Notamacropus eugenii: one gene and its partner. The protein of the gene in region 2 interacts with the protein of the main gene of each other region in a pairwise test. Links are inferred from orthologs where the notes say so. Each region holds a gene or a part of one and is shown on either strand. Other genes may lie near its edges.

Region 1 (8,002 bases), on a different chromosome or scaffold from region 2:
CAAAGATATTTGTTTTATCCTTAAGACACATTTTGCTTGTGGTCCTTAATGGATTTTTCCCCATGTGTATCCATGAGTTTCCATTTATAGGAAAATGTTTTATAGTCATGCTCTGGGAACTTATTAAGATTGTATAATAGGAAGGGTCTTTGGAGATAATCGAGTCCAGCCCTCTCATTTTACAGTTAAACAAAATGAAGTCCAGGAAAGTTAAGTAACGTATTCAAGGAAACACAAGTAGTAAATATCAGAAATAGAACTTGAGATCAGACTAACTTCAGAGCAGGTACTACTGTACAGTGTTGCCTGGACTTTGTATTTTCTGATTAGAGTTGAGTTAGATTGGATTTTTTTCCCCTATTTTTATTATATAAGATAGATATTGGGGAGATGTCTAATATATAAATATATAGATATGGGCTACAGTTGGCATAGGTAGATATATGGAATCTGGCTCACCTCTGAAGAAAGGAGGCTGTGCCTGCACTGTCCACAGTCTAGTTGGGTGTGTGGGGTAAAGAACAGGTAGGATTCAGGATCATTGAGTCTAGGTGAATTCTTCTCTCTCTGAGAGGGGTATCAAATCTTTGATCCTCTTTGAAAATGAAGGATGGACAATAATATGCTAGAATTATATCTGCTACTACTCAAGTAGTTTGGGGGTATTAGTCTGGGTTTAGAATAAAAGCTGCCAGCCCTGATGGCTTTCACTGGGGGAGGGTAGCCACTCACTCATACTCACTAGTTTTACTCCCACCAAATACTAGTTACACAAAAGTCCATCTTGAACCTTTTTGTCAAAGAAAGCAGCCAATTGGGGAAATGATACAGATAAGAATAAACAAAGAATCCTTGAGGGTCAAAGAGCTCTTCAATAGGGAAGGACACAAGGTTTCAACAAAAGCAAAGCCAGAGGGAAAAATCTTACCATGGTAATGTCCTCTATGGGGGTGCAAACACAGGAAATCAAGAGACACAGTGACGGGGGCAACTTCCCCATATAGCTGAGGCCCAGGAACTCGAGTGATTCATTCTAAAGTCCCTGCCTTGCCTGGTCTCTGTCAAAGTAGAAGTCCTCTGTTGAAGTCTCTATCCAACCCACTGAAATAAGTCCCTTATAGATACAAAAGATGAGCCCAATTTTCTCCCAGAATTCACATCCTCTAAAAGGTACATAGTGCAGATCATGAGACTGTCCATTGGAAAACCACTCAACTTGCTTCGGTGGGAGTGAATATTATAGTTATATTTCCTGTCTGTCAATTACTTAACATCAATTGCTTAAGTATCCACCTAGTAAGGCCCCCTCATACTTGGCACTGGCAAAGTAAAGGGAGACAGGGATGGAATCGAGGTGAAGACTAACTCTTCTTCTCAGGAAGCTGACATCAAAATTGAGGTGATAAGACTCACTTGGAATAATTTAAGGACCTTTTATAACACGTTATGCAAAAGAAGGAAATTAATAGAGTACGTCAAACCCCTAGGTACATGAGTACGATTCTTCACTCTGTTTCCTTTGGCCCTCTAAAAGGAAAGAGTTGGGTAACTTGTGAAAAGGGGGGCAACTAGATGGTACAAAGGACAGAGCACTGCTGTGCTTAGAATCGGGGAAGATCTAAATTCAGCTCTACCTCAGACACTTACTAGCTATGTGACCCTGGGCAAGTCACTTAACTCTGTTTGCCTCAGTTTCCTCATCTGTAAAATGAGATAGAGAAGGAGATGTCAAAACACTCAAGTATCTTTGCAAAGAAAACCCCAAATGGGGTCCCAAAGAGTTGGACATGACTGAAAAACAACAATGCTTGCGAAGGATCATAGAAGAGGGGACTGTGGAGATCATCTCATCCAATTTCTTCATGATCCATGTGAACTAACTGAGCCTCAAAGAAGTGGAACGACTTGCTCAGGTAATATCATTATCTAGGTAATAAGAAGCAGAAAAAGGTTTTGATGACAAAAGCGATGACTCTAAATCTAATGTCTTTTGTATTATCCTGTGCTGTTTCCTTTCAGCTTATGCTATTTCTGCCCAAGAGATGAGTGATCCTGAAATCATTGAAGAAAGAATAACACCCATTGATCTTAAAGAGCGAGTTCCCAGAGTAGTGTTAGAAAGTATTTTTCTTTCAGGAGCTATTGATCCCTAGAGAAAAGACAAAGCACGGGTCTGGTTATTGATTAAAAGCCCCTCATCAACACTCTATTGCCTAAAGAGTAAGTTCCAAATTCATTGCTTGGCATTTGAAGCCCTTCACACTTTACCTTTTTTACCTTTACAACTTTGTTTTACCTTATTCCTCTTTCAGATCTTCTGGGCTCCACAGTGCTCCCCTCTCCTACACTTTACCCTTTTGTTCAGTTGTTTTTCAATTGTCTGACACTCTGTGACCTCATTTAGGGTTTTCTTAGCAAAGATATTGGAGTGGTTTACCATTTCCTTTTCTGGCTCATTATATAGTTGAGGAAACTGAGGCAAACAGAGTTAAATGACTTGCCCAGGGTTGCACAGTAAGTATCTGAGGCCAGATATGAACTCAGGAAGAGGAGTGTTCCTGACTCCATGCCTGGCACTCTGTGCACTATGGCATCACCTAGCTGCCTATGCACTGTATTGTCCTACACTCCACTGCTGGTCTATGCTCCAGCCAAACAGGACCAGTCACTGAGCTTCATAAATACCCCGTACTTTTCTGTCCCTGTTCACATTTTTCTCTAGTCCTAGAAAGCCCTCCTCCCCTATTTTATTCTCTTGAATTTTTCTGCATCCTTTAAAACCCAACTAAAAGCCATTTCATCCAGTCAGCTATTGCTGAAATTCCCAGACTGCTAACAATCTCCTCCACACCCACTCCTTGGACCTCTTTGTACTTCTCTTATGTACATATAATAGTGTATACTATTGTTTTGTATATGTGTGTCATTTCCCACAATTTGGGATACAAACTCCACAAAAACAGAATTCACATCTTTAATGCCTACCTCAATGCTTAACACAGTTGTTGTTGTCCTTTGTCCTTCATTCAATGACATCAGGAGGGTGATATCTTGACTTGCAAGTGACCTGGATTTAAATGAAGCAGGGCTGTGCAAAATCAGCCTCACTCTCTCCTCCAGTCATCAGAGTCGAGTGGCAAGACATAAGACAAGTTGACTGGCGATGCCCCCAGATGCAGCGGAGACCATGACCTTTTTAAGCTAAGGTCTTTCTCAGGTCTCAGTTTCTCTGAGGCAACATCTACTTAGTAATTTAAGGCTCAGTGAGAATTGAGGCAAAAGATGGTTTAGTTCAGGGGTGGGGAACCCGTGATCTGAGTCTAAGTTTTACAGAACAAACCTTTAATTAAGGGGATTTGTTCTGTGAAGTTTGGATTCAGTCAAAGGACCTTGAAGTTGCAGGTTCCCCACCCCTGGTCTAGTTTGACTTGATCTGGAAGAGGAACACTCTCAAAGTTTCTGGCCAGAACAGAAACAATTGTTATTTTGCTGGCCCTCTGAGCCATAAAATCTAAACAATGAGTAAGTGAGGCTTGGGCTGGAACCTGTTATTGGCCAGTCAGTGAGAGACAGGGTGATTGGATTTTAAAGTCTCAGTCAAGTATTTCCATTTGAATACCAATGGGTTTTATCAAAGTCTGGTTTGTCAAAGCTATATTTCTAGAAAACATAAAGGAAAACTACATTAAAAAAGAGTTAATTGTCCCAAATTAATGGGAAAAAATAATAGAATAAATAAATAAATGGAGAAGAAAAAGATCTAGCCCCCTCGAAACGTAAGTGAAAAAAACTGCATAAAAGGCTCCTCATGTGCACAGAGGGAGGAAGGGGGGGATGAGGAGAGAAATGGCAGCATATTTTATCTTCATACCTACCTCAATGCTTAATGTTGCTATTGATTGTCCTTAATTCTCAAATAGGACCAATGTGTGTGTGTGTGTGTGTGTGTGTGTGTGTGTGTGTGTGTGTGTTCGTCCTTCATTGCTGAAGAAGACCATGCTATCAGAGAAATAATGACATGACTTGCACTTGAGTTTGTTTTGAGTGAGGGAGGGCTGTGCAGGTCACCAGCCTCACTTCTCCTCCAGAGCCATCTGAATCCAATGATCAGATATTCATCAGGATGACTGGAGATGACCCAGGATGAGGCAATTGGGGTTAAGTGACTTGCCCAAAGTCACACAGCTAGTGAGTGTCAAGTGTCTGAGGTGAGATTTGAACTCAGGTCCTCCTGACTCCTGCACTGGTGCTCTATCCACTGCACTACCTAGCTGCCCTAATAGGACCAATGACATCAGGAGGGTGATGTATATGAATTGGATTTAAGCGAAGCAGGGCTGCTCAAAGTCATTGGCCTCACTGTCTCCTCCAGGGTCATCAGAATTTAGAGTCAAGACATAGGTCTGGATGACTGGTGATGGACTCGGGCTTAACACCGTGCTTTCCACATATAAGTCCTGAATCAATGTGCGTTGAGTTAATATCTGTGGGAGACTGGCTCAAATCCAACATGTCATTCACTTCAAAGGAGGCAGAGAGCATGAAAGACACCTATATTAGTACAATGAGATTGGTGGAGTTACCTAACACTATTGTTTTAATTGTACTGTTCATGGTCATCAACCAGTAATTATTGAAAATCAAGATTGTCCAGCCATGAAACAAAACAGTGCTTTGTCTCAGGGCTGATGTTGATTTGGCATTGGCGAGGAAAAGTAGCTGTTACTCCCGAGTGAGGAAAGGGAAGATTTTTCCTTCTTGATTATTGGCTTTGTGGCTGATTGATGTGGCTGCAGTTTTTCCACTTTCCTTCTCAAATCAGGCCCTTCATGCACATGCCTTTTAAATTTGCAATCAAGCAATCATAGGCACAACATATATGTACGTATGTATATATTTGTATGTATAGGGTTGATTGGGATATGAAGATCCAGAATAAAACACAAATTTTATTTTTGTGATACAATTGAGTCTCTGCAATGTCTTTTACCCTAAAAGGTTTGGAGTCAGCAAGGAACTCAGAAGAAAGGGAATAATAACAATAATGTTTTTAATGGGGGCAGAGCCAAGAAGGCAAAGAAAAGGAATGAACTTGCCTGAGCTCTCCCACATTCCCTTCCAAACAACTTTAAACCAATGCCTCAAAAATAATTCTGGAGCCACAGAATCAACAAAAGGATGGGGTGAAACAATTTTCCAGCCTAAGACAATTTAGAAGGTTGGCAGAAAATCTCTGTCACTTGGGAGTGAGAGTGGAGTACAGGTCAGGCAATGACCCTGGCAAGTCAGCAGCTGTCCTTGGCGGCAACTGAATAAGCAGCAGCAGCTTCCAGAACTCTCGGCCCACAGATGGTAAGGGGGCCAGACAACTGGCCAGAAGGAGATTATGAGGGTACCCTTGCTGACACTGTATACAGGACTTGGTTGCATTGCCCATACATGAATCCAGGTCATAGTCCTGGATTGTAGTCCCAGGGCAAGGAGGAGCCACTTCTGCTGCTACGGGGGAGTTGGGTCATAGTTCCAAGTTGGAAGAGAGTGCTGTGGTCACTCACAGCCTAGGTAAACGCACCTCTCCTTAGATCATACCACCTTGGTAGAACTAAAAACTTACAGACCCCAAGAACTAGCTCTGAAAATGACTGCACAAAAAAACCCCAAAGCATGAAACAGTGCCCCCTCCACCCTAGGATCAGAACCCAACTTTGGCATAAAGTTAAACGTCAATAAATAGGTTGGAAAAATGAGTAAACAGCAGCAACAAAATGACCTGACCATAAAAAGTTACTCTGGTGACAGCGAAGACCAAAACACAAACTCAGAAGATGATAAAGTCAAAACTGCTGCATCTGAAGCCTCAATGAAAAATATGAATTGATCTCAGCTCTACCTTCCCCCACGCAGAATTCCTGGAACAGCTCTAAAACGTTTTTTAAAAATCAGAGAGGTAGAGGAAAAATTGGGAAAAGAAATGAGAGTGATACAAGAAAATCATGAAAAAAGAATCAACAGCTTGGTAAAGAGACACAAACACACACAAAAAACTCTGAAGAAAATAATACCTTAAAAATAAAACAGACCAAATGATAAAAGAGGCACAAGAATCCACTGAAAAGAACACCTTAAAAAGAAGAATTAGCCAAATGGAGAAAAGATGTTCAAAAATTCATTGAAGAAAAGAAAAAAATGGATATTTAATGAAATAGAGGACTTTCAAGCATTCCTGATGAAAACACTAAAGCTGAATAGAAAATTTGGTTTTCAAATACAAGACTCAAGAGAACCATAAGGCAAAGAGGAAAGAGAAATCATGAGAGAGAGAGAGAGAGGAATTGAGAGAGGCAGAGACAAAGACAGTGAGAGACAGAGAGATTGAGTGAGAGGGATTGAAAGAGGTCAAGACAAAGAGAAAGAAAGAGAGACAGATAATAAGAAACAGAGACTGGGAGAAAAAGACAGGGTTTGAGAGAGAGGAACTAAGAGACAGAGACAAAGAAAGAAAGAGAGAGACAGAGAGTGAGAGAGAGACAGAGAGATTGAGAGAGAGTTTGAGAGACAGAGACTAAGAAAGACAGAATAAGAGAGAGACAGAGAAACTTAGAGAAGGAAAATGCATTAGGTACAGTTCTTAGTAACAAGAGCTCACTCTTCAGGGCCCAATTTTTTGCAGTTCTTACGCTGAAGGGAATTAATATCACTAGACCTATTGAAAAACAATCCAAAATATCACTATATGAGTATGTTATTTTGGATTGGGCTATGTTTCTCTAAGGTTTTTACATAATGCTGAGCAAAAGGTGACTTGGTAACACAGGATCCAACCTGTGGGAAGGAGAAGGGGGAAAGGGATGCTTCTTCCCCTTTGCCTTTGTGACTGGTACCTGGTCACCAAGGACTCCCTTTCCTCTCCATCCTTATTCCTAGAATACCAGCAGCAGCCCCTCTTTCTCCCTCCAGCCCAAGACAGTTTGCCTACATCACGTCCATGTTTGGGAGCGTACAATATGTGGGACACCTGAAAACAGCAATCTTTGTGGCAATGGAAGTGACGTGTGTATATTCCAGTCTCCCCAACAGGCACCTCAGAGTCTTTGTTCCCCTCTGAATTGAATTTGCCCTGGTTCCTTGAATTTCAAGTTATGACTCTGGACCTTAGAAAGAGTTTTATCATCAGACTCATATTGACAGGTCCGATCCTATCTTATGAAACAGGCAAATATGCACTTTGGCTTCTTTCTAGAGGCAGGTAGGTGGTACAGTGGAGAGTTAGGATGCTGGACCTAGAGTGAGGAAGACAAGTCACATCTAATCTCAGACACTTACTATGTGGCACTGGGCAAGTCACTTAATTTCTGTCTTCCTCAGTTTTCTTAACTGTAACATGGGGATGATAATGATACCTACCTTACAGGGCTGTCATGAAGATCAAATGTGATAACATTTATGAAGTGCTTAGAACAATGACTGTCACACTGTAGGCACTTAAAAATGTCAATTCTACCTTTTATTTTCTCCTTCATTATGCCCCAAAATCCTGTCAATCTTCAATCTCCATCATCTTTCTGCTGCTGGCTGACCAGAGGAGGCTCACACTGAGGTAGCAACAAGATGGGATGGTGAAAAGAACACTGGACCTTGAAGATAGGGGGCACTTGAGTTGAAATCCCAGATCTGGCCCATAGTAGCTGTGTGACCAAGGGCAAGTCACTTTATCTCAGAGACTCTACTTATGAAATGGGTATAATAATATTAAAATCATCAGCTGCATAGAGAATAGAAGAGGGAAGCATTTTATAAATGTTAACACATTATATAAATGTGAAGTATGACTCGTATCTCTGGAATCAACACACACAGTCTTGACTTTCCCCTGGCAGCCCCAGTCAAGGGTGGAACCAGTATCTGAGGGCTGTGGAATCTTTTAGAGATATCGCTCAAATCACACCTTCTCGCAAAAGTAACCACCTGCTCTGTTTCCCGACATGACCAGGTCTGTCTTAAG
Region 2 (7,237 bases):
ATTGTTAGGAGGATTTTCTGGACCTGGAGTCAGGAAGACTTGAGTTCAAAAGTAGCCTCATACACTTACTTAAGTGACCCTGGGCATGTCGCTTAAGCCCATTTGCCTCAGTTTCCTCAACTACAAAATGGGAATAATCATAGCACCCATCTCTCAAGAATATTGTGAGGGTCAAGAGATGATACGTGTAAAGCATTTAGCCCAGTGCTTGGAACAGAGTAAGCGGCATATAAATGTCGACTATTACTTCGTTTTTATTGATATCAAGCCCAAAGATTCCTCTCTGCAATGTTCACTCATAGCTATTGGCTGTGCCCTCTGGGACAAATATTTCAAATATATGAAGCCCCTCCTCTCCCTGAGATATCCCTCAGCTCCTCCAACAGATTCAAAACCCTTCCCTCTGTAACCCTGACTCTCCTCTGAACCCTCTCCAATGAATCGGCCTCCTTCTTAAACTTGGATTTTGGAATAGAATCTGACAAAGGTAGAGGACAGTGGGACCAACCACTGGAAGATGCACTCCTCATGGTACAGCCCAAGACTGCATGAGCATTTCTGGCTGCTTCCCCCCACTGCTGATTCATACTGAACTTGTGGTCCATTAAAATCCTCAGGTCCTTCTCTGAACTGTTATCTAACCAGGCTCCCCACCAATCTTATGTTTGTGAAGTTGATTTTTTGTACCCAATTACAAGACTTTAAAATGATCATTATTGAATCTCATCTTATTTCAGGCAGTCCAAAGCTCTGGCCTGTTGTAATCTTTTTGGATCCTGACTGTCATTCAGTATCAGTGGTGTCCCAGCTTCGTGTCATTGGCAGATTTAATGAGCAGGTCATCTATGCCTTCATACAAGTCTGTCATGGACAAAAGATTATATATCCCAGTGCCAGACTGAGAGACCTCAAGCTGCAGTGACATGGAATCATGAGTCCAGCCATCCAATCAGTTCTGTATACCACTGATTTTATCCTCACCTAATCCCTATCTCTTAGTATGATGGACTTTATCATAAACTTTGCTAAAATCCAGGTATAAAATGTAGTCATAAAATTCCCCTCTCTACCAGCCTAGTAATCTTATCCCCAAAGGAAGCTAACGCATCATGGAATTCCTCTGGTCCCTACCCCTCACTCCTCACATCTTTCCCTTCATAAGAGTCTAAATTTGTCCCCTGGCCTCGGTTTCCTGCTCCCTAAATCATGGGGTTGGATTAGTCAATGATTCTTAACCTAGGGACCCCATCCACGTGGATAGATATCAAAGGATCTGTGAATGCAGATTGGGGAAGGTGGGGGCATACATATTTTCCCTAACCTTTAACTCAAATTTAGCATTTCCCTAAATTATTTGTAAACATGACTGGGCAGAGGTTCATTGGCATCACTACTAGACTGCTCCCCAGGAGATCAGGACACAAAAGAGATGGAGAAGCCCTTGGTGTGGATGCCTCCCAGGTCCAAGTCTTACTATTCTACTGGCAGAGACTGTGTATTACCTACCTCTGTGTTCTGATGGAACTCATCACTATTGGAGAACTTCCTGAGGGCAGAGACTCTGGGTTTTCTCTAAAGGTTTTCCCCATTCCAATGTCCAGCACAAGGCTTTGTATATAGTAGATGCATAATAATTGTTGGTTAAGCATGAATCTGTTGTTGAATGGGCTTTTTCTGCCTAATGGGTATAATAATCCTTGCACTGAGAGCCAGCCTTGAAACTGGGAAGACCTGAGTTCAAATCTTGCTTTTAACACATAACTAGCTGTATGGCTTTAGGCAGCTCATTTAAGCTCTTAGTCCCCACCCCAGGCAAGACCATGAGTTATAGATGAGTTCCCTAGCTTTATCAGAAGAAAGACTTTTCCATGCAGTTTCAATAAAACCTTTGTCTGGACCAAACAAAAGAAACCCTTGGACTCCCAACCTCCTAGGAGAGCAGAGAGAGATGCTATAAAAAAATGAACTCTAGTGGTCACATCAAGTTAGGGGGCAGAAACTCCAGCCTCCCAATGTCGTTTTCTTTGCACCTTAGGCAAGAAGGGAGGCAGGGTGGTATGGGGTAAAGAATCCTATCTCTGGAGCCAAAGAACCTGGGGTCAAACCCTGCCTCTCTTATTTATTCCCTGCTGTTTGACCTTGGGCAAATCACGTCCTATCCTTGGGTCTCAGTTTCATCAATGACCTCGAAGGTCTCTTCCAGTTCTAATCTATGGTCCAGTGAAGAAAACCTCACTGGACTGGCTGGTGTGAGAAGCCCTGGCCTCTGTGGTGGGTTGTGGGTGGGGCACTCACCTTACAGGTTTCAGCTGAGCAGTGTCCATGGGTCCTGGGGAGATGTCAGCACACGGCCTCCTAAGGTCCACTTCTCTCTTTTCCAGGCCAAGGATCGTCTGGGCCCCTCTGCTGGGATGGCTACAGCTGCTGGGGTCTACTTCATGGTGCACAGGTAGAGTCCACCAGGCCCATCTGAATAAACACCCCAGAGGTCTCTCCCAATTCTTTGCTCAGGGGTCGCTGGGCCCAGGAGGTGATGAAATCAGTTTCTTGCCCTGCTTTCCCATGGTTATAGTGGTGGGATGGAGTGTGGGGGTGGTCCAGCTTAGTGGTGCTGGAGGCCCTTCAGACTAGGCCCTCAGATATAAGAGTCTTTGGATGCTCAGGAGGCCTGGACCCAGGTCCAAGGGTCCCTCATCCCTTCTTAAGCCAGCCAGCTCTCTCCAGCCTTCTGTTCTCACCCCTCCCAAACAGGTGGATCTCTTTCTTTCCAACTGCTTTCACCCTCCTCACTCAGTGGGCAGGGTATGGACACCTTCTGAGGCAGGAGGGAACAGAGGGGCCCCTTCAGTCTTCAGGTAGCCAACCAACCCCTCTGCACCTCTCTCCTAGGCCCTGGGGGTTTTGTCAGGGTGGGTCAGCCCCCAGGGCCCCTCCCTCCTCTGCCCACCTCCAACAGGGGGTCCTGCTCTAAGCCTACTGAGTAAGATGGCTCTTGGGTTGGTGTCCAAGGGCCTGGGGGGCTGTTGGGAGACCACTGTGATGCGCCCCTGTCGCTGTGGTTACCCTAAGTGTATGATGATGTCAGCATTCTGAGGGCTGGAGCCCCACACTGTCCAACTACAGTTATCTCCCTGGGACTTGTAGTTTGCTGTGTCCATACTGTCTAAAGCTCTGTGTCCAGCCTGTTTCTATCACAATCTAAATAATAATATTAATTGTTATAATGTCATTAACTTAATCTTGATTTCTTTGAAAGGTATCTAGCCTTGGAGTCAGGAAGACCAAATCAAAAGTATGCTGGGTCTGCAGTCAGAGGCTCTTGGTTCAAATCTCACCACCTGTGACCTATAACCTTGATCTTGCAAAGCCATACCTGGGCTCATCTTTAGAATGAAGAAAACATTCCACATGACCTTTAAGATCCCTCATTTTTAACTCTGTGACCCTTTGCTAGCCTGTTGACCTTGGACAAGTCCCTTAGGCTCTTCCTGGGTCAGTCTCAATCCTCTAAGGCCTCTCTCTAGGACTATGTCATTCTGTATTGACAAAGGGAATTTCCATAATGGGAGTTCCCTAGACAGGTGATTACAAAATCGCTATTATATTTAATTAATTTAACACTATTATACTACTGTCTCACTACCAGGTAGGCTAGAGAAAGAGAATGTTTTCAGGCACAACCCATTACTCTCATAAACTGTCCATTAAATCTCAGAAGGGTTAGGCTTTACAGCTTATCCAGTCTGTATAAATATGAATATATATAATATATACAAATATAAAAATTGAGCACCTGTGCTAATGAGATCCTTGAAACATGATTTATGATATATTATAAAATAAAATAAGTTATTGGGCTCATTAATGTGCTTAATAATATTTAATATTTAAATAATACTTTTATTAATATGATAAGGAAGGAGGAAGTACCTGGGAGCCAAGAGGGTGGTTGACAGCATCAAAGACTGAACAGAAGTCAAGACGGACAAGGTCAGCAAAAGACCAGTGCAGCAGTCCAAAACTCCTTAATCCCATTTTACAAATGGGGACACTGAGGTGCATGCCACTGGTGAGAGGGCTTGCCCAACACCGTGTGGGGGAATAAGGCTCATACACAGAATACGAACTCTGTTCCCTTGACTTTAATAGAAGTACTCTTCGAATATCACACCCTAGCTAGAATTAGTCCCCCAATTTATAGATGAGAAAACTGAGACCCAGAGAAGAAAAACTTAAAAAAAAAAAGAATAGATTTTTATTACTTTTTTGTCTTCATATCACCTGGATTTTCTCCTCTATCCCTCCCCTTCCCTCTACCATCTATTCCCTATAACAAGGAATTTATTTTCTAAAAAAAGAAAAGAAAAAAATTCAACAAAAACTAATCAGTTCATTGGAAAAAAATTGATATGATAGGCAATGTTGTGGGCCCCATCCCCTAGCTCAAAAAGGAGGGGGAGGCATGGAAGTAGCTTTCCTGACACTCCTTGGCAGGTCCCCTGATTTTAAGTCTAAAGCTCTTTCCACCACCCACCTAAGAGGCTGTAACAAGAATGAGAGAGTCACGGACCCCTAACTCTCCCCAACTCATCTTAAAGGAGCTCAGCTTGCCCTCACAACACAGACTTTTTCTCAGGAAAAAAAGGAAGGTCAAGGGGCCAGCAGGAGGGCCCTTTGGGGCTAAGGCACCCTCCAGTGGTCGCTCTGGGAGAGGCAGGGACTTGAAGCCCAGAATCCTCACAAAGCTCCCCTCCTGCCTTGGCACCCTAATGGAAAGAAGAGGGAGTATGAGGCTCCCTAAATCAGCATTTCCCAAACTCCCTGGGCCTCAGGACACTGAGGGAGGGGAGGACCTGGTACCGAGTGAGGGAACTTGGAAATGCTCTCAGGCTGGCTGAGCCCTACACATTTCACCTCTTTTGTTACTGCAAGTGTTTTCTGTGCCCTCTAAATCTGATGCCCTGAGACAAATCCCAGTTGCCCTGCCCTGATTTTGACTCTTGTTAGTGATCAACAGATGGTCCTTTGTTTACCCTTGCTCTTTGAAGGCAATGTACCATTTCCCAAATGCAGCCTAGTCCATTTGTGGGGTCATAGATTTACAGCAGGGAGGGGCCTCAGAGTTCATCCAGTCAAAGCCCCCACCGCCCGTTTATAAAATGAGAAGTCTGAACTTGACCTCAGAGGGTGCTTCTAGCTGAGGAAGGTTGGCTTTTGAAAGCAAACACTTTGAGATTAGAGAGAGGGTGATTCCATGTTTTCTTTCTTTCTCTCTTTCTCACCTCCTTCCTTCCCTCCTTCTCTCCTCCTTCCTTACTTTCTTCTTTTTTTGCTAATTTGCATATTTCTTGTAATGTGTGCTTTTATTTTAATTTTAGCTTTATTTTTGTCTGTGTGTTTTTATATTTTAGGAAAATGTCACTGATATCTCTGGTTTTCATATCACATCCGTTTTCCCAACATCCCTCCATCCTCTGAGAGAGCTAGACCTCATCACAAAGAGTGAAAAAGAGGGGGAAGACAGTCTGTCAGAAGGCACTGACGCATCAGCCAAGTCCAGTATCATCCCATGCACTGACTTGCACCCATAAGCACCCCCTGGACCTCTCCTACCCTTCACCCCTCTTATATCAGCCTGTTTCAATGCTTTGCTTACCTATATGTGTTGTTAAAGAAGGTGCCACCTGCACTGGACTCTCTTTCCAATGTCAGTGAAGGCCAGGGTGAGGAGTCTGAACTTCATCTCATGGGTAACAGGAAGTCACTAAAGGTTTGTGAAGGCCAGCAAAGGTCGAGATGTGCACATAAGCCTTATTATAATGGATCTGTGAACTCTCTGGTAACCCCTGGTGCTGATAGAAGCCCATCTTAGTCCTCTCCTCCTTAGGAAAGGAACTATGCCTTTAAGTCATTCAAGGTCACCTAAGATTTTGGGGTTTTCAGGGCAACCTCAGCTACAGTTAATCTCCCAGTCTGTCAATGGCCCACCATTGTCATGGAGGATAACAGAATCTTGTGCATTTGGAGAGGTCTAAGGTGAGAGATTAAATAATCTGTGACATCACTGGTATGAAGAACTCCAAAGTGAGGAAATTCCCTCCACTGAAGCAGGTTGGTTCCTTTTTTGCAACTTCTGGAGCACTGAGAGAATAGGGGACTTGGCCAGGATCACACGGCCAGTACTTCTCAGAATTAGGACTTGAACCTGCGTCTTCCAGTCTTAGAGGTGAGCTTCTATTGGTCATACCACACTGTCTCTCATACTGGATACAAAATCAACTTTTGTTGTGTTGAGTTTTTGTAGAGACCGTTCTTGTTTGTCCGTCATTGCTAAAGAAAATCAATGATATCCTGGGGTGATGCCTTGACTTGTGTATAAAGTGGATTTAAGTGAGGAAGAGCCTCACAAAGTTGTCTCTCTTCTAGGGTCATCAGAATCCAGTGGCAGGGCAAAAGTCAGGATGATGGCTATGGCCCAGGATGAGGTGGGTGACCTTGGCACCTTCCATGTCCAAACAAATGCTAAGTTCTCCGTCGCATGTGCTTTAGTCACCTTCGTGGCCGCTGGAACAAATCATTCTCCTGTACCCGTTCCACTGGGAAAAATCTTCACATGCTTGAGGCAGACACACTCCTAACTCACCAATGGGTTTGAGGTCCATCAGTTACCTGTTACCTGGTTTAGTCCATCCAGCTTCTTGGAGTCACAGGTGAGAGCTGGGTGACACGTACACGAAAGGTGGATGAGCAGTCCTCCCACCAGAGGTGCTGGTCCTCCCTAAATACCTCACACATCTCACGTGTGCAAAGGTGAACTGGAAATACATTACCCTCAAATCCACCAAGGGACTTTAATTTTAGTTTAAAGTGATGCCTTTCATTCCTACTGTCCCTCCCTTGACACATGAGAAAGCTATTAAATCTCTCAGTGCCTCAGATAGCTCTCTAAAATGATCATTTGTAGAGGGGTTGCAATCTGCATTGGTAAAGAGAGTTCTCTCTTTAGTAGTTCCACATATCAATGAACTCTCAAGTTCATACCTACACCTATCCTTGTGTTTTTATAGCCCAAGCATTTCCAGCTGTTTCTCTTTCCCAGCCCCAGACATACATGCCCACAATCATGTGAGTCTTCCCTTATAACAAAGAAAACCAGCTCTCACCATAACCTTATCTGATGGTGTGGTCAACATTCTGCACCCATAATCTCTCACCTCTCCAGTCAAAAGAGGGAGAT

Evidence for each region.
Region 1: the proteins of RAB3IL1 (region 2) and RAB11A interact in a two-hybrid assay, tested with the Homo sapiens proteins (2 studies listed by BioGRID and IntAct). The two-hybrid records come from large-scale screens. The link is inferred for Notamacropus eugenii from reciprocal best matches to the Homo sapiens genes RAB3IL1 and RAB11A.

The regions. Positions count from the first base shown.
Region 1 is NC_092872.1:128,251,753-128,259,754, reverse strand, and holds the start of RAB11A (ras-related protein Rab-11A), read right to left. Parts: upstream 3,002-8,002; 5' UTR 2,986-3,001; intron 1-2,985. UniProt on the Homo sapiens protein: The small GTPases Rab are key regulators of intracellular membrane trafficking, from the formation of transport vesicles to their fusion with membranes.
Region 2 is NC_092873.1:13,633,805-13,641,041, forward strand, and holds the start of RAB3IL1 (guanine nucleotide exchange factor for Rab-3A), read right to left. Parts: upstream 3,001-7,237; 5' UTR 2,325-3,000; coding exon 2,296-2,324; intron 1-2,295. UniProt on the Homo sapiens protein: Guanine nucleotide exchange factor (GEF) which may activate RAB3A, a GTPase that regulates synaptic vesicle exocytosis. Promotes the exchange of GDP to GTP, converting inactive GDP-bound Rab proteins into their active GTP-bound form.